Oryzias latipes: one gene and its partners. The main gene of each other region encodes a partner of the protein of the gene in region 3 in a complex. Links are inferred from orthologs where the notes say so. Each region holds a gene or a part of one and is shown on either strand. Other genes may lie near its edges.

Region 1 (5,981 bases), on a different chromosome or scaffold from region 3:
TGGGAATTGGGTCGTCTAGACCAGTGTTTTTCAAACAGTGTGCCGCGGCACACTAGTGTGCCGTGGGAGATGGTCAAGTGTGCCGTGGAAAATTGCCCTCATTAACTGATCTAAAAACATTTCCCATCTCCAGGATATCAGCTCTCTGTTCATCCAAACAGGCCCTGATAAAACACTGAGGAGTTAGGAATATAAAAGATCGTAAAATACTTTTTCTTTGCGTTTATTTTATTTTATTAAAGACATTTTGATAAGAATGACCGTACCGCGATTCAGCTGCAGCTCCGGCTGTATTTGGGAAAAGTCCCGTCCCTTTGACTGTCTCCACCAATCATTCTTGAGGGGCTTAATCACATGTCATCAGTCTGACCAATCAGAAGTGGTTAAAGTCTTCACTTCCTTGTCCCGATTTAGCTCGTAAAGTCGCTCAGTTCTAACAAAAATACCAGCTAAAGCTCGTCTTTTGCGCTGTAGCTTTCCACAGAATCCGGTATCAGACCGTGGAACAAGTGAACAAAACAATGAAGCTCCGAAAAGCGATCTTCGGCCGTTTTATGCACTACATCTCCCATGATGCATTGGGTTGTGAGAGGGACAGCGCACAAGGAGATCTGTCGTTAGACGTCTTGAAACCAACGAACACACCTAAAACTATTTTTAAATCTTCTAACTTAACTTTTATTGAATCTTTTAGAAAAAAAACAGCTGCAGTTTCCAGCTTTTTCTGCAACAATTATCTCAAAAATGCATGTGAGATTGTGGAGGGGCTGTAGATCAATACAGACTATGAGTTTATCCTTCTTTTTTAAAATTTTTGGATGCTGGTGTGCCGCGGGATTTTTTTTAAGGTTAAAGTGTGCCGTGGCTCAGAAAAGGTTGAAAAACACTGATCTAGACCCACCGACAGTGCTCTGAATCTTTTTTCTTCAATGATTTGTGATCTTCACTGGTGTCCATGGATTACATGAAATCTTTCCACCTTTATCCACCTTTGTCATGGTAGGGAGAACATGTCAATGGGAGGGGGGGTCATCTAAGATAGCACAAGGGTTAATTATGGTCAAAATAAAGGACCAAATCCGTGAAATTCAACCCACACGTATAACTGAAGTGTCCCAGCACAGGAGGAACTGTTTTTCTATCTATAGTATTTTCTCCAGCATCTTACTCCGATACACATTTCTATAATTTATCATTTTAGTCAAATACTAAAATATTTATTCCGATAGTTGCAGCTCAGTTCAAGCATAAGTTAAACTCAATGTAAAATCAGAAACAGTTTTAAGTTTTTCTGCAGGTTAAAAATGATTTTATTATAAAAAAGTATTTTACAGCTGTACAGTACAAAATAAAAGGGGGTGAGTGAGGAGCTCCCTCTGCTGGAGACGGGACGTTACTGCAGAGCGCCCGCAGCCCCCCTTAGGAGTCGTTGGGAAGGCCAAAGAGCTTGACCGTCCCCGCCTCGCGGTTGTTGTCGTACTTGCCCTCCTTGTCGTCGCAGGCGTAGGCCAGCAGGGGTCTCTTTGGGTGCCAGGCGACGGTGAAGGTGGGGGAGTCACACTGCACCTCCCACAGCTTCTCCCCTGTAGGGTGGAGGAGAGATGGGCTTTGAGTGACAGCCGAGTGGGCGGGATCTTCACCGCCTGTGCGGCTGCAGGTTTACTGACCCGTTTCCACCTCCGCGATGTCGATGAAGTGATCCTCCGACGCTGAAGCCAACATCTTGCCGTCGTGGCTGAAGCTCAGCGTCCTCACCGGCCAGTCCAGCCTGCAGCAGAGCAGAGACTCGAACAAAGCTCGCAGCAAACGCCGGACCCTCGGCGGCTCAACCCACCTGGAGAAGCAGCGCACGCACACCAGCTCCTCCACGTCCCACAGGCTGACCAGCGCGTCGGCGCTTCCCGTGGCGAAGTACTTCCCCGTGGGGTCGAACTTGATGCAGATGCAGTTGGACGGGTGAGCGTTGATGGACTGGATGGGCTTCAGCTCCGGGTAACTGCGCAGCACCAGAACCTGTTTTTATTTCAATGTGACCGGTGGGCGCGGGTCGGCATGCGACAGTGGCGCTCTGACCTCAGGATGTTGATGCAGCCGTTGCCGTTGGTCAGGAAGAACATGTCGTTGTCGTTGTTCCAGGAGATCTCGTTCACCTCGAACTTGAACTGCTCCTCCGCCCTGGAGCGGTGCGTCTTTGCGTCGATGAAGGTCACCACGTCGTCCTTGTTCCCGACGGCGATGGTCTGGCCGTCTGGACTCCAGCAGATGTTGATGTTTTCACCTGGAAACAAAGTCAGTTCAGACGTTAAAACGTTCCTCGACATCGTTCCGGGTCTTCAGATCCGTCCCGGTTACCCTTTGTGTTTACGGTGGCGATGCACTTGGTGGTGCGGACGTCCCAGATGCGGATGGTTTTGTCTCCGGACGCCGTAACAAACAGGTCCGGGTTGTTGGGATGCCAGCACAGCTGATCCACGCTGTCGCCGTGACCCCTGTAGTTGTTGTCCTTGACCTGGGGAGAAGACGCACTTCAGTGGTTGGTGGCCATTAAACGTTTAGTACCGTTCTAAAACGGTATGAGTTAACATTTATGCTGCAGTGGGTCTTCCTCCTCCACCGCTGAAGTCTTTGTCCAACACAGAAACATGAAAGTTGGAAGACTTCAGCTTCCTGATGCAAACTCAGAGTCAGGATTCAAACCCAGAACCTCACTAGCTTCAGAACCTCAGATGTGCATCAACTAAGATGATGGATTAAAGAAGCTGACGGAACATTTCATGACTTGAGGTGAATATTTTCCCCTTCAAGTAACTCCCAGCTGGAAACATCAGCTGCTTCTTTTTTTTTAATAGTTTTTATTATTACTTTAGTTTTATTTTGACTTTTTAAGGGCGATCCACAGTGACAAAACACCGCCTTCTCCTCTGAATCCATCACTTCTCTGTTTTTAAATAACCTTCCAAGGAGTTTGGCACGCGCGTCTGTCTTTGTGCTAAAGCTAGCATGCTAGCAGAAAACGAGCCGGTTTCTCACCAAGCGGTCCTTTTCCAGGACGAAAACGCTCGCGGTTTTGTCGAAAGACCCGGACGCCAGCCTCCGGCCGTCGCAGCTCCACGCCACCGAGTGAACTTTCGCCGAATGAGCCGGAAACTCCCGACTTTTGCTGTTATTTCTGAAGCTCTCCTGCATCTCCTGATAGTACTGCGACGCCATCTTGGTCCCACTGTGTGACGTATGGTTTTTAGAGGAGAGCGCGAGGGCCCCCTGCTGGCCGGAGGACCGCGCGTGCAGTTTACTCATCGACCAGTGAGTTGACGCGTTACTGAAGACAGATCTTTGAACTATTGTTACTTTTTGGGAAATTCTTGGATCAACTGGAATTATGGGAAAAGACTTTTGAAAATAGAAAAACCAGATGATCCAGATAATTTCCCCATTGATAATAAATAAATAAAGATAAAATATTTATTATTTAAGATAATTAATCTTATCTTTACAGGCATTAAACATAGACATATTCTCATATTTTTGGAGCATTTTGGAACTAAAGTGTCACAAAGAAATGACAGTATTCTTCAAATAAAACACTTTTTGTGTCACTGACAGGATTTTTCTTTTCCCTGATTTTAGATTCCAGAGATGAAAGAAAATTGCAAAGGTGGTGCTGACATCATCAGGTCAAAAATAACTAATACTTCATATGATATGTGCTTTTATTTAGTACAAACAAATAAGGCAGACCGTAAAATAATCTGTAAAATGTAGACGTGTTTTAAAAAGTGACTTCATTACTTACTTCTGCTAATAATTCACCAATGAAAAAGACAAAGACTGTTTGGTTTGATCTGAACTGCAGTTTATTTCAGGTGTGAAAATTCCGGTTTAAAAACATGGAAACTGGATGCAGAAAATCAGTGTGAGGGTTCAATTCCCCCATCAGAGGGGGGGGGGGGGGGGGGGGGGGGGGGGGGGGGGCGGGTCAAAGCTGCAGGGTTTTACCTGCACAGGTGATCTCACTCTGACTGAGGTTTTCCAGCAGCTTCTAGGGTCAAATTCTTCTCGTCTGGTTTGGGTCTGGAACCTCATGGAAACTCATGGTGACTGACGTGAGACAATCGTCCCTCACGTCTGCATGAAGGTCGATCGTTAGCCATAATGGAGCCGACTCTTGTGAAACATTAGCAGGACCATGTTTGCTCAAATTCAGCAGAAAATGTAGACAACATTCATGCAAAATGGGAGCTGTGTGTCATTCCACCCAAAAAATGTGGATCTATTTGCATATTTCTGTGCCTCTAACTCGGTCGTTTCCCAGATCTCAGTAAGAGCCGAACTTCCTGTCCTGACTTCAGGATCGTGTTTGAATCTACGGTCAAACGTTTTGGCTTTTGCTACGTTTCAGTCAGAAACACACCAGCATTTTTGTTCCAGGTTTTTGTTGCCATAGTTACGGACATCCCAGACTGAACTGTTGGAGGTCCTCAGCAGAGCTGCATCAGCTGCAGCTTCTTCATGTCCTGCATAGCCAAACCGGTTGATGCTACATGCTAGCGCTGCCCAATAGCAGCAAGTCTGGATGGTAAGCAGTGAGCTAAGGCTTGATGACGAATATTTGGACTTACAGAGAAGCACTTGTGTTCGGGTCAGACCCGGACGGAACGGCGCACTTTAGCTCACAGCTAGGATCTGCTTTAGCACGGCGAGAAAATATATATTGGTTTTTTCCCCCATTATTTTTCACAAAATGTGTGAAAAAAATGATCTTTGTTAGCTTAAAGCAGGTGCTAGCTCGCTAAAGTGGACTAAAGTGTTGCACCTCAGTTAGATTTGCGAGCGACTGACCTTTAACTGCTAGCTAAGAATGTTAGCAGTTAGCGAAGGCTCCTTGCAGGAGACGGAACCACTGACTGCATCTGAGAACTGGACTGAGTTTACGTCATTCCTAGAAAATGGTTTAGTCTGGCTCCAACCAAATGAAGTCAATGCGGACGCCATTTTTTTCAGGATGCGGCCGTCGCCATGTTGGAATTGTCAGTAAGCAGTGATTGGTCAGAGTCAACATTTCCATAGCAACAACTCTGGCCAATCAGTAGTAAGGATTTGAGAGGGCCACACCCCTTCCACTGAAAGTGAGCTCTGGAGGATCTGTCAATCAAACGCTTTGAACAATCCATGTGAGACCGCCTCCTGCTTTTGAGGCATCTGATTGGTCCGTTTATAACTTGAGGAACAGTTGTTTATTTCTCTGTAGAAGTCTGTGGGATTCTGGTTTCTTGGAGCCACTTCCTGTTTGGGATGCCAGGGAGGCGGGGCCACTCCGTCCAGTTCTCAGACACAGTCGGCGGTTGGAATGAGACTCTCATCTTAGGATTCAGAGGAATAAAACTCGGCTTTTCATGTCAAAAACAGCTGACGTTGCAGAAAACGGTCACAGAGGAACCGCACGCCGCTGCCACGCTTCATGGTGGCGTCAGAAAGGCTCCGACGCCGTCTGGGTCCTATAAGCACAGCTGGAGGTTGTGGCGTCCGCGGCACCTGTGCGTACAGGCCAACGGGCTGTTTGAGGGTAGGAAGACATCGTTTCTCCTGGGGAGGGACGGAACAGCAGGAGGTAGAGAGAAAACACAAGCCCCTCCCACATCTCCTCATCAAGGCCTCAAAGTGTTCCTGAGGATCCATCGGCCCCCCAAGCATCACACCTGCCTTTGATCCGGACCCTGGGAAGGACCGGCGTCCCGCCGTGAGGACGCAGGAGGGGGTTCGACACGGTGGGGGGGGTCGTGCTGTTTTCTGCTCCCATGGCTGCACTTTAACAGCACTGAAGGCATCTCGATTCTAAAAAAAGCTTTGATTTCTCCATCACGTCATCTGCTGTTTGCCGAGCTCGCCGCCGCCGGAGCTTTCAGCTCGCCACCGGTTTATCAAAGAGGAAACCCCCCACTGACACGGAGTTCCCACGCTTTTGGAAACCTTCCTCAATGTTC
Region 2 (6,557 bases), on a different chromosome or scaffold from region 3:
TATTAGTTTTAGTTTTTATTTCGTTTTGAATTTTTGTTTTTAAATTTATTTAGTTTTAATTAGTTTTTAGAGGCAGCTTTACTAGTTTTTATTTTTTGAAATTGCTTCGTTTTAGTTTAATTTTTATTAGTTGTAGTGTTAGTTTTAGTTTTTTCATTTTTTTTGTAAATTAGGATATTTGTCAGGTGCATGATTCAAAATCACCAGAATAAGTGTTGTATGATAAAAAATCAATCAAAGATACATTTTGAAACACTTATTATTCAGAGGACACAAGTACAACCATCCTTAAATTAAAATACAACAGCCGATAACAGCATTACGTTATCTGCTCTTGCTTCTTTTTCGGGGGAGGGCGGGCGGCAGGCTAGCTTGTAGGTAGTGTTGATTTGCGTTTTTGTGTGCGCTTTTTAAATGTACTTTTCGTAGGGTTTTTTCCCTTTGAGGAGCGTTCCACAAATTTTGTCTCCTGCTTCGACTACAAGGCACTTACTTTTGTTATATTCAAAAAAGTCCCAAATAGGACTCTCCCGCTTTCTCCCAACTTTTAATGCAGCCATCACGCTCATGTAAATGTCTATGACCACGCTAGCCGGCAGTGTCTGACAGACATCATGTGATGTCACAGACAACGTGATGCCGTAAGGGTCAGATACACAGTAAAACTAGCAGCGTGAAGTAAATAGATTTTATTTCAACCCAAAAGACTTATGTATTAACAAAGACGAAAACAAAGTATTTTTTGGGGTTAATATTATTTAGTTTCAGTTCGTTTTATACACACAACAAACAGTTTTAGTTAGATTTCGTTTTTTATAAAACTCTCGTTTTTATTTTTATTTCAGTTAATGAAAATGTTTTTTCAGTTCTAGTTTTAGTTTTTTCGTTCGTTTTCGTTAACTATAATAACCTTGCTTACAACTCATATTGACATTTCGGCTATTGTCCCTACAGAGAAAATTGCTCACCACAAGCCTGGCTGTAAGCATTCGCTTGAACGAACAGCACATAAAGGGGTGGAGGAAGGTGGCGGGCAATCTCGGTCTGTTTCTGAGTTTGCTCAAACGGCATGGACAAATACTCCTGCACTGGGATAGACGCCTGGGAGAAGATTTAGAAGAATATTAAAAACTAAAAACTTAAGATCAAGTTCAAGTTGAGCTTTATTTTTTAATACCTGCATGATAGCATTAAGTCCCGGCTGCAAACTTCTCAGATGCTCCTTCTTCACCTCAATGCTCTTCTGGATTTTCTCCTTTGTAGACTGAGACTCCTTATATTTCTCTGCCAATCTGTATCATACAGACGTTTTAGCACATATCTATTTCAGGAGAATGAAAAACAGTAACAACAACAGAGCAAACCTCTTCCTCTGTTCAAGCTCCCAGTCCAGCCGGGCCAGTGTGAGCTGGTGTGGATCGTCTTTTGTGAGCTGAGGCCTGGAGATCTCTTGAGGAGCATCCCGGTAAAACTCCTCCTCACTGACCAAGTCTATTTCTTCATGCTTTGACCTGAGGCAAAAACAAAAGGATATTTTTAACCCAGGGTTGTTTCTAAAACTACTAACATTGTTGTGCCATGTCAATAAAAACAGAATAAACAGGTCAAATAATTAAAAAGCATACATTTTTTGTCGGAGTGGTGGAAAAGTCACAAAGTTTTAAGCGCTTTAGAAAACAATAAAGAAAAGAAATTAAGCAATCTGGATAAAGTCCTAGAGAAGACACAAACTAAATTGGTTCGTCTTTATTAACTTTCACATAAATATGCCCCCCCCCCCGGGTTATCGGCTCTTTAAAAGACTCAGTTGCAACACCAGTAGAAAGCAATTTCAGGTCAGCAACTTAAATATTGTGATTTTATTCCTTCCTAAAGCAATTAAAGAACTAGCAATGTGAAATAAGTGAACAATCTAGTATTTTTCAGTACATACATTTGCAAAAATGTAATCAGATAACAAAAAAAGTGGTTTAATTTTGTGTTAGAACCAGTTAATAAATTCGGAAGGACTAACTTGAACTCCAGACATTTGCTGATCTCCTTCTGAAGATGCATGACTTCATACAGCAGGTTTTGCAGCTGAAGGTGCAGCACATCCACCTTCTGTTTTGCCTAGGAAGACGAAAAATCAACGATCAGGCATTGATACAATGGTAACATTTTAAACACAGTTAATATTTAAACAAGTTGGCAAACAAGACAAGGATTCGACATACAAAAGACCAATAACAAAAACATATAGCATAGTGATCAATCAAGACACACAATAAGAGTGACATTATCGGATGATAAAACAATTTTTGAGTGCATAAAACAACGTTCACATTTCTCTTAAGACAGCAATGCATTACAGAGACGTGTGGAAGTTACCTCGTGCGTCTGGTCTCGTCCTCTCTTTAGCCGCATGTGGGCCAGGCGGTTGAACTTCTTCAAGGTCATGAAGAGGATGCAGCTCTGCATGCGCTTCTGCTCAACCTCGGCACACTGAAGCAAAAGAGAAAACACAATTATTTATTAAAGACGGGGCTTACAATGTAAAGTCCCTTCACCATGATGGTGTATCTGTCAAAAACATGACATTAGAGACATTAGATCATATTTATTGGCAATGAACACTTGGCAATAACTGATAACACTTTGACCTCAAAAATGTCATAACTACTGCAAGCTTGATGATTGTCAGAGTTCAACTAGATACTTTTAAATAATTATTTACCTTACTTTACTTTCTATGCTAAGGCTGATGAAAATGATCATTTGGCAGGGACATTGGCGTGAACTGTAAAGTTGAAAGAGCATACCCCCTCTTTAGCTCCATTAGCTTTAAGCTCCTGGATTTCACTCATGAGAGAAGCCAGAGTCTCACAGGACTCTTTAAACTGCAAGTAGTCGTGTTCAGGCTCCCTGCCGTCCAACTCCACCTCCTCATTATACACGCGAACATCCTAAAAAAAGAGAGACATTATTGTATTAAAACTCTTATCTATGAAGAATGTCACTCCACAGATTTATAACACTACTACTTTACTGTGATCGCCATTATAATAATAACAAAGTATAATAAATATACTTTGTAATAACAAAGTCAGAACTCGTGAGAAACACTGGTTGGGTACCTGCTGCTCGACCTCCCCTCGGCCTCGCTTCATCTCAGTGGTTCCCCCTTCGTTACGAAGAACCTTCGACTTGCGTTTCTTTATAGAGTCAGATGACATGGCTGACTAAATGTAACTGCACACTTATAACTCTGAAAAATAACATATGTATACATAGATGTATATAGTGAGAATAAAACAACTTCGATCGACAAAATATGCTAGCATGCTAAACTGTTAGCACCATCATGGCCTGTGACTAATAACGGCTCACAACCGCTAGCTTCTACGTCCACAATATCAATTTACTGTTTTGTTCTTATTTTCTGCATTTGAAAACTTGCTTGCGTACCTTATAAGCGGAAAGGTCCACGTTAAGAGGCTAAATTACGAACAGGCAGATGTTATGGATCGCACAAAGCCTTTCAACGGAAGCCGAAATGACTGAAAATCAATGGTAATCGCTACACTGCCCCCTACGGTTCCTCTTGGTATTACTAATACTGGCTTGATTAAAAAATAATCTCCGCAATTTTTTAAACATTTTATACAGTGAACGTAAAATTGTCGTTAAAATAAGAATGTATATATTTTTTCAACACAGCAATATTTTATAAATTAATTTTAAGTTGGTGTGCAAATCAGTGAACATACATATCCCCAAATAAGAATAATTAAAAAACAAACCTCCACAAATATTTTGTATCAACATATCTATTTTTGGGTACAAAGGACAACAAGAAAGACAACATATAAACAGAAATAATTTATTTACAAATATCACATTAAAAACTACATCTAAAGATACATGAAATGAACTGGTTTATTTTTTTTAAGACAAAAATAAAAGCACCTGAAAACAAAATATCTTTTAAGGTACATTTATTTTGCCATATCTATCAGACTTTGCAAAGATGTTGGCACCCAAGTCTTTTCCCCCTGCACAAACACAACACCTCTGTCTATGTAAATAACAATGCGGCCAAATGTGTAGAGCTGTTTCCCCTCGTGCCGTTTGGCCACTATGGGCATGAAAACAATGTTGTTTTCCTCTGCTTTGGCCTGAATTAGATCCTTAAAGTTAGTTGGCACACCAGAACCGATGCCTCTTTGAGCAACACTTTCTGCATCCCGGCGCTCTTGCAAGGCTTCATACTGGAAGTCTTTCCGTCTCTCCGTCTGTGTGAGATAGGCAATGTTCTCTCTTGCACCAGGCTGCATATATCCACCTGTGAAAAGGAATAACGGACTCAACATAAGTGAAGCAAAGATCTCTCAAACTTTGCTTTTATAGTTTGAATTAAGGTAGATCTTTGGTTTTCATATTTATGAAGTAGACTGTGTGTACACAAACCCATTCCTGATGACACTGCACGGTTCATGATGTCCAAAGCCTCATTAAATTTCTCTTTAATGAGAGGTTGAGTCAACAGAATGTCACTAAACAAGCCTTTCCAGCCGAGATACCACTTTGTGATTTCCTCGTAGTTAGGACTATTGCTCAGCCATGAACACAAAACCTAAAAGCCAAAAATAAAAATAAAAAATACAGCAATTTCAGAGGATTTATTCAACCTATATATTTAAGAAATACGCTTTACGTATTTTACTATTTGTTATGACATTCACATACCTGTAACCATTTTGGGAAAAAGTTCTTGTCAAAAAGGGACACAAGACTGGAGGGAGACAACATTCCCTCCCAGTCCATCACCCAGTGAAACGGCTCCATCTGCTGCTGGTGCGGGTTGATGACCAGCTCTTCCAGACATAAAGCTTTGGCAGGAAAGAGAGATTTTCACATGTGAAATACATATATGTATAAATAAATCTGTGACAGGAAATGAAAAGGTATAGAAGTCAGTGATCCAGTCAGTTTTGCAACGCCTAAAGCTAGTGACTAAAGAAAACCAACCTAGTTTAGGGATGATGTTTTTCACCATGAAGGCCTCCCATGCACCTGCTGTAAAAACGTTCTTCCATGGCTGAAGAATGAGGCGCGCTGAGGCATCACTCGGATGCCAGCGCTGCAGAGCGTTGGCAAGTTTGCTCCTGATAGGTGGGTAGAGAGGCTCCAGGCGCGACTGGAGTAGAGGAAGCCAAGGGTGAATCCAGGAGTGGATGGGCACCGTGTCAGTTAAAGGATTCCAGTTATCTACCTAATAAACAAGAGAAAATGTAGGGAGATTTTGACAGGTGATACACACACTTCAGATGCAAGAAAAAGTAGAACAAAAAAAAAAAAAAAAAAGCATGTAGGATTGTTATAATTTGTGTGCCTTGCCTCGCGCTGCAGGCGGGGTAAGATCAGCTGTTCCAGTAGGTGATCCAGGATCCACTGAGGCAGAAGAGGAGCCCACAACGTCACACAGTCCACCATCGGTCCAACCATACGGGGCTGCCACCCGGACACACACATACGCATCACAGGGATCCACACTTCCCATAAAAGTCTAAGCAAAGAGAGACACATGCAGTTAAAAATCAAAATGTGAACATTTACATGTAAAAGTGAGTATTTTAAACAGACCTGTGGTAAGGATCCATGTTGGAGTCTGGGCCACTGGAACGAAGATCCCTGGATTCAAGGATTGCTCTCCACTGACCAATGTCTTCCAGACAGTATGCACTGTCCTACAACAAAAAACAGTCTTAACTCTAGTATCTTAATTGAGCAACATGTTGAAAATAAGGTGTTTGTTTTCCCCCCCACAGAAATAAAAGCGTAATAATTTAATTAGAATAATTAAAAAAAAAAAACCTTTAGAGGCTCCCATGAGTGAAGTTTCTCCTTAAGTAAAGGATGAACAACTGCCACAGCCAGGTCTGCCAATCCCATCATTTTATACTCTTCATAATAATCTGTTTGTAAAGTCTCAAAGATCTGGGCACACTCCTGGGCACAGAGAGGTGAGAAAATAAACAAATAAGTATGTTCAAAATGATTAAATGTTAGAAGAATGGAGATTAAAAACCATTAGGAACAAATAAACTGCAAGATAAGTACATCTAGTTTGGGTATTTTCATGTGCCACGTACCTGAAGAGTCGGTCCCTCCCCTGGTGGCGTCTCTCCAGAGGGAAAACGCTCCACCAGTGCCAAAACAGCCTCCATTTTCTGGATGGCATCTTGCTCTGCTTCTAGTCTGCTCTGCAACGCACGGGACTCATGACTCAGAGAAACGACCACGTCCTTTTCATGCTGTAGACGTCTGGCCGACTACAAAAGAATAAATAAAGAGAGCAGAAGAAAAAAATTAAATCTGGAAGCCCACTTGAAACGGGTTAATAGTTGAAAATGATTTGAAAGAATTTCAGATTTTCCTCTGACCTGTAAAATGTCCTGTTCTGTGAGGTCGATCAGCAGCTGAAGATTATGCTCAAGCTCAGGGAGAGCGAAGCCGGAACCCTTCTGATCCCGTGTGGACATGGCTGGTGGGGTTTCATCGGGAACACTGTGTTT
Region 3 (6,637 bases):
TATTTCTAAATATTGACACCACTGTCTGATGTATTTTAAGATTCTTAGGTTGGTTGAATCATTTAATCATGTTGTCATGTCTAATTTAAATTTCAACACCTGCAAATTCACCTATGCAACAAAAACCAACAGAAAAACTTTGGGATTTTGATCACAACCACATGGAAAATAAACAAGACTAGTTTGATAAAAATCCCACAGCTATGGGGGGGGGGGGGGGGGGAGGGGGGGGGTATCAACCAGGTCAACTGTAGATATCCTGGTTTGCAGAATATAAAAGTTAACTAATTCCAGCCAGTGCAAAGAACAGATGCATTTCACTAAAGAATGTTCCTGTTTTTCTATGTTATTATTATTATTCATCTTTGATTTCTCCTCCCAAAGATAGCCTGCATTTGTGCTTCTCCTCGGTGTTTCTGGCAGAAACACTCGCTCATCTGTAGGGAAATGAGGAAAGCTGGAGCCTCACCTGGCGGCCCGCAGGGCCTTCTTGCTCTCAGCGGTTGCAGGCATGTTGAAACGCTCCGCCCTCTTCTGCAGCCTCTGCTCAACAAAAGCCCACAAATGACACGTCACTGTCTGAAATTCATCACAAAACCCTAAAAACATGCTTGTTCCTTTCAAACCCCAAACTCTTCTAAGCTGCAGGCTCTGAGTGTCTAATAAAGGATGATGCGTTTTCACCAGGTAAAAAAAGGCCGCCGAGGACGGTTGGAAGACGCTGGAAATCAGGATTAAAAAAATAAAATAAAACAGAAAAAAGATAGACAGAAGTACAACTACTGTACATGTGAGAGCACCAGAAGCCTCAGAATCTCCCTTCTTCTGAACATTTATCCAAGGCAGCATTAAGAATTGGTTTCTGCTTTAAAGGTTGAACAATGAATTTTAAATGACACATTTGGGAAAAGAATAGTTTTCCTCCATGTGGGACAATAAAGCTGAGAAAAGTTTCTTTTTTTAGACAATTGCTTTATCCAAAACACCTGACAGTAAAGACAGTAACCAATAAAAATCTAAGTGAGAGCATGAACAGCCATACAGATTTGTGCGTTTGGCACCAACCATCCCCGTGTTCACTGCGTCTGACCAGCGGACATTTTCGGATCTAAAGTGAATTCAAACCTACGCAGCAACACAAATGGACAGACTGGGCTCTCAGCACTGGCCTTGATCGAGCAGAAAATGACTTCTTGACGGAACTGAAGAGCAATAATCTACATGACAGGATGATGGAACTGTTTGAGGAAAGAGAGGAGGGTGGATTTTGTCATCAAATAATCTCATCTTCTGATGAGTGAACATCTAAATATCATAAATAAATTCCTAATTGATGTGGTTATGGTAGCGGTAATGTTTTGTGCTGGCTGTAGTTGCATAACAAGATTTGTTTACTGTTTTCTGTATTTAGAGGCACTGATTGTGGCTGCAGGAATTTTCAATCTGCAATGCAAAGCTAGTTTCTGCATCATAATATGGTTAATGAGGCGTTGAGTGATTCAGACGTTGCACTACTGAAGGCCCAGGTGTGTAATGCACGGTCCGCCACTGATGTTATCCTACCACTATTGTTATTTATTTTTTTGCAAAGTCACCATAATCCAGTCCTTATCAGAGTAAGAGCATATTATTCATCAAGTATGATGAATAATATGAATGGATGGAGTCCTTTAAAAAAGCAAAATATTTAAGTTTAAATAACTAGGTTGTGCTCTTATTTGGTTAAATTTAAGTTACAGATTCGTTTTTCCACTTTTTAGGAAAGATTTGCTTTATTTTTCAGAAAAATAGATGTTTTTGTATTAAACAGTTTGGCTTTAGCATCTACCCAAAGTGAGATTTCAGCAAAACTTAATCTAAAAACACCAAACCAAAGGAGCAAACACGAGCACAAAGGTGAAGTCTGAGGTCAACTAGTGTTTTTCTGAAGCTTTTCTCTTCTAAAATTAGATTTCAGAGCTCAGACGTGATCTAAAATCTAAACCAAGGTTTATTTGTGAATGAAAACGACTCATACTTACTTCACCAGCAGACAACGGAGGAGAGATTTTCACCACTTTCTTGTCTTCAGACCTGAAGGTAGAATTTATTTTCTCAAAAATTAAAAAAAAAACTAAGAACATGACAGTCCAGCAGATCCAGCTGAACTCTTTTTTGATGTTCTCATCTGAGCAACATCGACTGTAATTCCCTGAAAAGTTACTATCTTACAATAATAGTTAATGATAAACGATAACTTTATTCACACGCAAAGAGGAATCTGAAAGGTAAAGAGGAAAAAGCACATTTGTTGTACAGTTAACTTACTCTGGAATTGCGATTGTTTCAGTGTGGTTGTCCTCCTTTATGCTGTTGGAGCTCTCAACTTTAGTGAATTCCTAAAAAGAAAAGAAAAAAAAACAGACATACTGCTTTTGTGAAACAAACAAGCAGAAGAAACAAACCTGAACAATATTTCATGATAAAATTTGGAGTTTATTCAACTAAAAACTGTGTGTGAGCTGTGTCTGCCTGAAGAAATGTAATCAATAAAATGAATAGATTTGTGTATTTGACAAATCAATATTGATTTTCTCAACAAACATTGATTGAACGTTTCTGTTTTATTGCTAAACTAGAAGAGAACGGATAGAATAAAAGACATTACCGGTGTGTCCTCTGCCAGAACTTCATCAACATCCACATCGTCCTCTGTGGTTTGGATGACAACACAGACAATATGAGCTGGCAGGAAACAACATTTGGTTGATGTGCAAAAACGGGTCACCCGGTTCTCACCGTGCTCCTCCAGGTAGGCTTGGAGCCGAGCGATCAGCTCGCCCTTGTTTCCCTTGGTTTCCAGACCGCGGGCGTCACACTCTTGCCTCAGCTCAGCAAGCTGAAAGGGAAGATGAAACCTCAAATTAACAATTGGTTTTAAAATTTACTGACGTGATTCAAAAAAAGTAAAACATAGATCAGCCAACACCTGCTTGGAAATATTGGTGTAATTGAAACTATAAAAAAATATATATATATTTTTCCATCTCCACATCAGTAACCTTCTTACTATTCCATAAAACTCTGTAAACGAAAGGACGGTTCTTTTTTATTAAAGATAAATTTACCACGATCTGAAAGCACCTACATAAACTGATTTCATCATCTGTTGAACTAAATCAGTTTAAATTGATAACAATAATTTGTGCATTGTTAGAATTTTATTTTTCCTTTTATATATATACATATATATATATATATATATATATATATATATATGTATGTTACGATTACTTATTTTCAAAATGGTCGTTCATCACATTTGCTTTGAAAAGCAGAAATGCAGGATTGAGTTAAGTTAAGTAAAAAAAATCTCTCATTTTTATTTTGTCTTTCCAAACAGCGGTTGTGGTTCGGTCCATTTACCCACCTCTCGATTTTTGCTGTAACTGATTGTTTTCATTGTTTTACGTCGAACTTTATTACTGGTGGGTTGAAAGATAGTTTCTCAGATTATCCGTTCATTTCCCTCCGCGTTTCCTTCGTCGTTCTTTTAGCCCGGATTAGCTCAGAACACATGCCGGTTCGTAGACTTAAGACCCGGAGAACACGATTTTCTGCAGCCCGCCGCCACCCCGCTAGCTGGTTCCGGTGTAAATACTGACTTCATCATTTCCACCACAAAGAAATTCACCCAATGTCAGGAAAAACGTATTTTTAATTCTACCAACCTTCAGCTTTTGGAGCTCCACCACTTCAGCCATCTTTCTCTGTTGATGTATTCCTGCCGTCCAATCAGAGTCGAGCTTTTCTTCCTCTGTGCTCCTGAACAACGACGTCATTGATCACAACGACGTCATTGATCACAGCGCCTCCTGTCGGGCATATTAACGCCGTGCAGATGGTCCTGCTGCATTTTAAACAAACTTGTAGAGATTTTGTTCAAAATAAAAATTAATAAATCGCCGCAAAATTTTGTAAAAATAAATGTAAAAGACGTGTTAAGACCTTAACAAACTTTTTATTATATAAAATCATGATTAAAATGCGATTTTATAATACTTATTCAATTTAGCCTCAGATAAAAAGTGTTTACTAACATTTTTTATCCTTATTTATACTTTTTTCGTAGACATTCCTCACTGTTTTCTTTGTTCTCAGTTCATTTTATCTTATCTTTGCCATATAGATTGTGGATGTTTTTTAGAAGTTAATTTTCTTCTTTTATTTTCTTTACCTGGAGGAATAATGGAAGCAGTTTATGCAGTGGATCCACATTCATGTATTTGAGTAACAGCTACATTTAAATCAGTTGACATCATGCTGGAACTTTCTAAAACATGTATTTTTTTCAACCACATCTATAAAACACAATTATATTACTGTCTGATGAAAAAATTATTTGCTACATCCATGTGGCAAATAAATAAAGACTATTTTTCCTAATTTTCCATGAATCATCAGGTGTGGATCTTCACAGATCTAAAATGTCAGATAGGCCTAAAATGTCACCTTCATTGTTTAACACATTGGTTTCAAAACTATTAACTCACCTGACCAGGCCATGTTTGTAAAAAATAAATTCAGGCTGGACTGAGGAATCAAAACCATCTACAAGTCTGAGAGGTTTACAGAGGAATGCAGGTGCTTGTATGAAATGTTTGAACAATTAATGAGAGTTTAACCAAAAAAAAATAAAAATAAAATTCTAGTTTAAGCAGTTTTTCTGTTTTAGTACTACACACAACAGAGGTAAAACAGATTTTGTTCCTTTTTATATTTATGTTGCAGTTCTCGTGGTGAGAGAAAAAAAAATTCAATCACAGTACAACAATACTGAACAAAAACTGACAGCATTGACCTTGGCTCTTAAAGAGGGTCAGCTGACACACGCCACCGGCTGAAAGAACCCAACACCAGCGGGTCTCAGGCGTGGATGGACTGAGACACGAGGCGGGGTCAGGGTGAACACAAAACAGATGAAACGTGTTCAAACTGGATTTGCTGTGAATGCTGACATTGTTCAAAAAGAGGTTTAACCCAAGCTGCAGCTCGGCATACGATACACAGACAAAAAAAGTTCCAATAGACTGACTTTCAAGTTGTGGGCATGAAGGACAAAGCCGGATGAATTTAGGGAGTCACAAGTGCTTCCATAATCCTCATTATGGTTGCATTCCTTCCATTGTTTCAGCAAGAATGTGTGAGCGATTGTTCTAATGACACAGAAACACAAAGCTGCTGCTGCACGTTAATGTTTAGTCATCAAACCTTACCCCTTCACATTACATTAAGATGCACACTGAAGCGTGCAGCAGGATACAGCGGACAAAGCTACACAAAACCTTCCAAGGAGTCTGTGCGGATTCTGTGTATGAGAGCACTTCCATGACATCAAGCGGGAAAATCTCTCAATGCATCTAAATTTAAACAGTTCGGTGAAGTCTTGGTTAAAAAAAGGGCCTAATTGTTATACATTTTTCTTTACAATTGTGAAGATGTATCTATGAGAGGTTTAGGAAGTTACAACCTTTCATGAATAAAAGCATCACCTGTTTTTTGCAGGGATGCAACAATACACCGTCTTTACAATGAAGTGGTCAAATGTTTGGGTTTTGTTTCGGTTTGTGTTTCATAAAACAACAACAAAAACACTTAAAAAATCAGAAAAATCCTATTTTTAGTTTGCTATTAAAGCAGGAAAAATCTCCCAACTGTCTCATACTAAGATTGGTGTAATGTAACTAGGCAATAAATAATAAATCCTTCTTAATTTTAGCCCAATTTGACACTTTAATGGTACACAATAAGAATGTACGCTTTCCCCAGGATCGGGTCCGTGGTGCATCACACGGTTTGGATTGAAATGTATTCTTGCTGTTTTTTTAGTAGTTGTTCTTTGAAAGTCAAATTAAATTTGTTTTATTCATCCTTGGTTTTATATACAAGAAAATGAAAACATTAAGAACGTTTTGAAGGCTGTGTTTAAAGCATTATTTATATATATTTTTATGTTTAAATTATATTTAAAAAACTCCAACGCCTCCTCCTCCGTCTATTCAAGTATCCTATTATTTATCAGAGATTTCTTACACACACAAGACATTAAACCTACTCTGTTACTAACAGTAAGTTTATATTTATACTGTGACTGAGACATGTGTGGTTTACGTCATTCATACGTGTTTCTTGCGTTCGTCATTCGTCGATAGACACAGATGTCCATTTATGGTTTTGGGCGACAGGTCTTTACATGAATTCAGTTTGAGTTGTTTAAAATTTTTTGGTTGCTTGAGAATTACACTTATATGAACTACACAGTTTATGCGTATTTCACATAGTTTCTACGCAATTATTACATAAAGCGTACGCAGTTGTTGGTAATTTTTGTGATATGCATACGCAAATTTTTGGCTTTTATTGACTGTTCCACGTATGCCTAATAGACTTTGTACCACCAATGTATAACTTATGTCGCGTATTCGATGCAAGGTATAAGCATGTAATTAAAGCACAAATCACTAATGAATTGCATATAAACATTTACAATTTAACTTGGTTCCTTTGTGATCATCTGAGGAAAATTTCATGTAAAGACCACAACTTTTCTCCCTTTTTCCACGTATATTCACATATGACCAATTTTTATCCGTGCAAA
Region 4 (6,103 bases), on a different chromosome or scaffold from region 3:
TTGTACACATGGTAGCTTGGGCTACAGGATCAAGTTTTTTGGAGTGAAATGTAAGGGGGTGTAATATGTCTCTGTGTTTTTGCATTAATTTAATCTTAAATTAAAATTAATTTTATATCTATAGCACCTAATTACATACACAAAAACAAACAAAAATAAAAGAGAAATGAATAGAAAAAGCTTAAAGAAGACTGAAAGAAACATTTTTTTATTACTTTAGAAATAAGCATTGTAATAATACAAGACTGCTGATATAATAGCTTAATTTGAATGAGTTCATGTTGTTATTTACGGTTCATAAGTTATTTTAAAGGGTAATGGTGAGGGAACTAAACAGTTTTACAACAGCTCTGAGCACCAATTGTTTATAAAATAAACATGAATATTTTGGCGAAACCAAATGAACTCTGAGTTTACGGCTTGAGGAGGAGGAGGAAGGACAAACATGCATCAACTCCCTGTAGACTAAGCTTGCTTGGGACAGTTCTTCAACCTCCACTATTACTTTTATAAAAAATTAATACTACACCTACCTGTTCGCTTGTACCTGTCTGCCACTCCCTACGTTAGTATCCAGATATCTGGTGAAGGCTGTCCTCAATCTGATTGATTCTCACCTGATCTTAAAAGGTGGCCAAAACCAACTAAACTGGATTGGATGAAATGTTTTTTATGATGTATGAATGATCATGTTGTCTTATTTACAAGATGTAAAACTGGATTACATTCTGAGGTGACTGGAGAGAAAAAAGATGTGTTTCCATCCAGGTGGGGATTTAGAGATATTTGCGTACTTGGGAACAAGGAACAAAAGATACAACAGCTAGGCCTTATGCCAAAAGGTCTATGGAGACAGTTCTCCTTAGTAAATGTTGCATCTTTCAGTGTTTACATTAAAAATGTTGCAGGTTTCTGGTGGGGAGTGCTATTTCATTTAACAAGCGGCAGCGTTAGAATGAAGCAAGCAGAAACATTGAAGCAACCAGCTGATTCAGTGATGTTGCACAGGAAAAAAAGTTAACTCGAAAGAAAACTCAAAGGCCACTAAATAATTTTACCCAACACAAGCAATTACAAAAATGACTAAACATTAACTAATGAAAACAAGACATTGCTTTTGAATTGAAGATTAACAGAATCAGGTTAGTTCTGTCGACTGGTATCAAAAGGTATTTTATTCCTACAGTCTACTATCATTTTATATTTTTACTGTGGACTTCAAAAACACATTTTAATTTTGTGAAGAGATTTGTCTAAATTAATTAATTTAGAACCTTATAAATATTTTTGAGGTTGCTTTTTGTTTTCTCTTTTGAACCAACAACAGATGCAAGAAAAACAGATTTATTCCAGGTTTATCTAGAAATTCTAGGCGAGAACATCTTATCTTCTGTGAGAACACTCGGGATTGGGTGGCATCAGTGGGTCAACTTTGAAGTTCTTGGCAAAGCTCAACATCTGCAAAGGATTGCCTTCAGATAAAACTGAAAAGTTATAAAGTGACTTTCACAATCATTTGATGTAAGCTTTTTAGAAGATTTCTGGTGAGATTTTAAAAGAGGTTGAAGCAATCAAAATTTTAATTATTTTAAACTGTGGACACTAGCCATGAGGGTGTTCTAAGTGCTGAATCTGCACATAATGACTGTATCCAAATCCTTTTTGAGATTGTTAAAAAAGGTGCTTTGCTTGTATTTTCAAAACCATAACACACTCCCACTTAAAATGTTTGGTTAAATCTAGGCATGAATATGTTAACCTCTGATTTCTAATTGGCAAACTGCTGAAAGTTTGTACTGTTTTCCTGTAAATCTAATATACGCGTGAACCTTTGTTAAATAACAAAACTCTATTTGCCCACACGGCTGGTGTTCTGGTGAGAAATAGAGCACATTAAGTTTCAAACAAGTTTCATTGTAATTTTCTAAGGTGTAGGAACAAACATGAAATCAGACCTGAATTGATCTGTCAGAAAAAAAACGAGGAAGTGGTGACCAAGAAAATATGTTGGCCAAATGAAAACCTGTTTAAATCTATAGTTGAAGCAGGTATTGTACCTATAACCGTACCAGTAACATTACTATTTATGAATTATTATAAATGGTGAAATTAAAGCTAGATAGAAATCTTTGTCCTCAATAGCCACTTAGTAGCTAAAGGTTCTTATAGAACAGAGGTCTGCAACCTGAGGCTCCGGAGTTACATGCAGCTCCTTTATGATTCCATTGTGGCTCTTTGGTTTTGAAAAAAAAACGCTAACGATTTGAGTTACTAATAATGTTTTGGGGTTGTTTTTTTTTTTTTTTAATTTATTTATTAAACTTTCTTTTATTTGGATTCTGCTCCAATGTTGTCATGTTAATATATGACTATAAAAGTAGAAAAGAACGAATATGCAGCAAAGTCTGACTGATAGAAAAGTCTATGTTTGACCTGACTTTCTTACATGTTTTATTCAAGTGAGTCTGTTGGAGGATTTAATTTGACATGAGGTTTATTTCGTTTGAAAGGAACCTATATATGCTGCTGTCAAAAGTAAAGGAAGTTAATATTTTAATAGAAAGAAAATGATAAAACTTTCATAATTCAATTATTTTAATATCTAAATGCTACATGGTAAAAATGAATGGTTTAATGGTAAAACAAAATATGTAATGTGCCATTCTCGATTGATAATTCAGCTTGCAATTTAAGCATTCAATCTAAAAAATGCATTTTAGAATTTAAAATTCAATGTGTAATGCTACAATGTAAGCTGACATTTTTAAAAGCAAAATGTTAAATAAAACAAAATCAATTGTATTCTAAACTGTCATTGGTTTTTAGTCCAATAATATTCTGCAATATAATAAAAGTTCAATTTTGCTGTTGAGTCTAAAAAGCACAAAAATGTGGGAAAAAAATTGCCACATTGAATGTCCACCAATAGGGGGCAGTAGAAAATGAAACCGCTGATTTTAACCTGGAAAAAGAATCTTGCTCTACCGGAAATAGTATTGCTCATTGCAAACATGGGGGCCGTAACAGATGGTAATTTGGTGGTTACTTCGTTTAATATAAAGTTTTATTAAAAATAAATAAAGTGTTTATGTGTTAAGTTATTGTATACAATAGCTTATTTCTAGAATGTAGCAGTGTTTACGCAATCAGTTGGGAGAACTGTGCAGCTAATTTATTGCCCTGCAGTGCTAGCTCAGATTAGCAGGTTGCAATCTAGCCTATAGTTTATCTTGTCTCTTTCGTTTCTGTTAAAGATGAAGTCATTCGGAAACGTCTTCTTATTGATGGCGACGGAGCCGGAGATGACCGCCGGATCAACCTGCTGCTTAAAAGCTTCACTAAATGGTGCAACTCGCCCGGGACTCCGGAGGAAGGGTCAGTGCTGAATGAATCTGAGTCTGAGCTGACGCATCAGAAGATTTACTTTCCAGATTTTAATGTGATTTAGCATTTACGAACAACTCTTCTTGCGAAAGAAAAGTCACATTAGTTAGTTCTTACGTTGTGTGTACAGGCAATTCCAAGCTAGTTTATCAAACTCCATAGAAGGTTAACGGGTCTCAGTTGCATGCAGTTATACTTACCCAAGGAGAAGAGTAACTGTCTTCTCTACAATCTATGGCAAGCAGAGTGTGACACACAGCACAATGTTTCAACTCTGACCATGCATTTCAAAAGGCTGTTTCTATACATTTCCATGATGTGTTTTTATATACCCGAAGAGTAGAATGGTGTCTTCCTTGTTAAATATGCAACAAAAAATCTCACTTTAATTCCTTGTGGTCTTGTGTTTGCGTGTAGATTCACACAGTACCAGCGGATGTTGGGCACTCTGGCTCAGTGTGAGTTTTCCATGGGAAAGACGTTGATGGTTTATGACATGAATCTTAGAGAAATGGAAAACTATGAGAAGATCTATTCAAATATAGGTGAGGTTTTATTGCTCTCGTCTGGAAGCATTTCTGTTTACAATATTAGATTTCATCTATATACCCCCCCCCCCACCCTCCCCCCATTGCAGAACAAAACATCACATCTGCACATGAGAAGATTGCAGAATGCAAAAAAGATATTCAGAGGGCAAAGAGGATACGAAAAAATCGCCAAGGCAAGGATATTTTGATATGGATTGCATATTTTATTTATTGTCCTTTTTCAATAACATCCTTGGAGTATTATAAATATGTTTGTATTTTTTCCAGAATATGATGCATTAGCCAAGGTAATCCAGCAGCATCCAGATAGGCATGAAACACTCAAGTAAGTGGCTCCGTTAATTCAGATTTTCGATTGCTTGTAAACAGCGTACAACAGTTTTGCTTCATTTTTATTTATTTATTTTCTTTCAGGCAGCTAGAGGCGCTTGACAAAGAGCTCCAACAACTGTCCCACATCAAAGAGAATGTGGATGCAAAGGTATATCCAAACAGAATTTATGCAGCTTCTGTGTATTTCGCTGATGATTTGATTTATTTTAAAGTTGTTGTTTTTTTCTATCAAATTTACTGTTCCACCATAGTTGGAGTTGAGGAAGAAGCAGTTCCACGTTCTTCTTACCACCATTCAGGAGCTACAACAGACACTTGAGAGTGAGCACTTTATTCTTAATGCCAACTGATTTTAAAATTGTTTCAAAAAGTTAAACTCAAAATTTGTCTTCTTTTAGATGATGAGAAGTCAGATATTGAAGATGCCAGTCAAGAGAGCCCTGCAGGGAACAGTGAATAACAGTGGAACAGAATGAAATGTTCTTAAATGAGTTTGGGTTTGTGAGACAGAATGCTTTTCGTATGTATTTTTGAATAAAATTCTCTTGATTCTGTCGCTCTGTCTGGTTTTCCCTTTTATTGTTTCAAATAAAAATAAAAAAATCAAAGTTCACAGACTGATAATAATTTCCCTCTATATATATGCCCAAATAAAACAATGAACATAAAAACATGCTCCACACTCGAGGTGATTATAACAATATATAAAAGGAAAACATCTGTGTGCCCATATAATGACTTTTGCTGCTGTAAGATAATCATTCCTGTTAGAAACAGCAGATTCTACTGGACTACCCAAACACAACAACTGAACATTTACACTAACATGTAATTTGGAGATGCAGAAAACAGATCCTTCAAAGTTTTTAGAACTCTACTAGGTATGCACGGGCCTGCAAAAGGCGCTTAAGGCGATTCTGCAAAGTAGCCCTCTTACTGCCGATGTCAAAGTCCTCCTTCAGCAGGAAATCCAAGTTCTCCTTGTCCTGAATCATCTGCAGCATCTCTCTCTGGAGCTGGCTGGCTGATTGTTGCAGCATTTCATAACGGATCACCAGGGGGATTTGATCAGCTAGACGCATGCCAGCAATCTGCAGGATAATGTGGAATAAAAGATAGAAGCCATAGCAGCTATGCATACATTTAGCTAAAATCAACGAAAATTCAGATTAAACTTCTTCAAAAAAAAGTACCTTGTAATAAGATTTTAGATGCACCATCAGCTCCTGAAGAGTAGCGTAGTTGTCGAGGCTGAAGACGATGCTTCTTTCTGAGTAAGGAGCTAGCGGTACGTTCTCTGAGTCCTGGTCTTCTTTTTTGCTCTCACTTAGACTATTGCTGTAGGTCTTGTCTTGGGAGTAAACTAGCAGCTCCATCTTAAACTGAGTTCTCAGCATGGTTTCAGCAGAGGACTCTCTTTCTTGCTTTATGGCTTCAATTTTTGCCTGTTGTAAAAACAAAAAAAAACCATTTCATTTCAAATGAACTCAATATAAACTTAACATAAACATATCGTGCGTGTGTGGGGTTTTTTCTCCAGGCACTTTGGCTTCCTCCAACCGTCCAAAACATGCTAGTTTTTTTAGTTGGTTAGTCTAAAGTGTCCCTAGATGTGCATGTATGAGTAATTGTGTGCCCTGCGACAGACTGGATCCCCAGGAGCTCTATGACCCTGACAGGGATATAGCGGGTTAAGAAAATGGATGGATGGAATTTCTATTATGTCTTCCAAATTAACGATGAACAAAATTAAATACAATTGTGCTCTTTGTACAACCAACAGAATGAGAAATGTTAAGCTGACGACGACCAATGAAGGAAAGGACGCTGTATAA

Evidence for each region.
Region 1: sarnp (region 3) and thoc3 share a complex: the UniProt entries of both Homo sapiens proteins name them as parts of the transcription/export (TREX) complex. The link is inferred for Oryzias latipes from reciprocal best matches to the Homo sapiens genes SARNP and THOC3.
Region 2: sarnp (region 3) and thoc5 share a complex: the UniProt entries of both Homo sapiens proteins name them as parts of the transcription/export (TREX) complex. The link is inferred for Oryzias latipes from reciprocal best matches to the Homo sapiens genes SARNP and THOC5.
Region 4: sarnp (region 3) and thoc7 share a complex: the UniProt entries of both Homo sapiens proteins name them as parts of the transcription/export (TREX) complex. The link is inferred for Oryzias latipes from reciprocal best matches to the Homo sapiens genes SARNP and THOC7.

The regions. Positions count from the first base shown.
Region 1 is NC_019868.2:29,382,012-29,387,992, forward strand, and holds thoc3 (THO complex subunit 3), read right to left. Parts: upstream 3,246-5,981; 5' UTR 3,211-3,245; coding exon 3,031-3,210; intron 2,510-3,030; coding exon 2,353-2,509; intron 2,279-2,352; coding exon 2,074-2,278; intron 1,997-2,073; coding exon 1,835-1,996; intron 1,769-1,834; coding exon 1,668-1,768; intron 1,584-1,667; coding exon 1,420-1,583; 3' UTR 1,280-1,419; downstream 1-1,279. UniProt on the Homo sapiens protein: Component of the THO subcomplex of the TREX complex which is thought to couple mRNA transcription, processing and nuclear export, and which specifically associates with spliced mRNA and not with unspliced pre-mRNA.
Region 2 is NC_019867.2:13,552,068-13,558,624, reverse strand, and holds the start of thoc5 (THO complex subunit 5 homolog), read right to left. Parts: upstream 3,580-6,557; 5' UTR 3,448-3,579; intron 3,248-3,447; 5' UTR 3,216-3,247; coding exon 3,117-3,215; intron 2,946-3,116; coding exon 2,802-2,945; intron 2,485-2,801; coding exon 2,371-2,484; intron 2,113-2,370; coding exon 2,015-2,112; intron 1,512-2,014; coding exon 1,365-1,511; intron 1,293-1,364; coding exon 1,178-1,292; intron 1,102-1,177; coding exon 969-1,101; intron 1-968. Other genes in the region: tfip11 (tuftelin-interacting protein 11), read right to left, coding at 3,978-4,324, 4,450-4,615, 4,729-4,871, 5,011-5,254, 5,380-5,548, 5,626-5,729, 5,857-5,991, 6,135-6,314 and 1 more. UniProt on the Homo sapiens protein: Component of the THO subcomplex of the TREX complex which is thought to couple mRNA transcription, processing and nuclear export, and which specifically associates with spliced mRNA and not with unspliced pre-mRNA.
Region 3 is NC_019865.2:25,903,367-25,910,003, reverse strand, and holds the start of sarnp (SAP domain-containing ribonucleoprotein), read right to left. Parts: upstream 3,838-6,637; 5' UTR 3,822-3,837; coding exon 3,711-3,821; intron 2,879-3,710; coding exon 2,779-2,878; intron 2,692-2,778; coding exon 2,648-2,691; intron 2,379-2,647; coding exon 2,308-2,378; intron 2,074-2,307; coding exon 2,022-2,073; intron 544-2,021; coding exon 470-543; intron 1-469. UniProt on the Homo sapiens protein: Binds both single-stranded and double-stranded DNA with higher affinity for the single-stranded form. Specifically binds to scaffold/matrix attachment region DNA. Also binds single-stranded RNA. Enhances RNA unwinding activity of DDX39A.
Region 4 is NC_019863.2:16,701,641-16,707,743, forward strand, and holds thoc7 (THO complex subunit 7 homolog), read left to right. Parts: upstream 1-2,922; 5' UTR 2,923-2,942; coding exon 2,943-3,030; intron 3,031-3,254; coding exon 3,255-3,375; intron 3,376-3,801; coding exon 3,802-3,929; intron 3,930-4,021; coding exon 4,022-4,108; intron 4,109-4,202; coding exon 4,203-4,260; intron 4,261-4,349; coding exon 4,350-4,416; intron 4,417-4,519; coding exon 4,520-4,589; exon of another isoform or gene 4,590-4,666; coding exon 4,667-4,728; 3' UTR 4,729-4,824; downstream 4,825-6,103. Other genes in the region: interferon-induced GTP-binding protein Mx, read right to left, coding at 5,135-5,359, 5,462-5,713. UniProt on the Homo sapiens protein: Component of the THO subcomplex of the TREX complex which is thought to couple mRNA transcription, processing and nuclear export, and which specifically associates with spliced mRNA and not with unspliced pre-mRNA.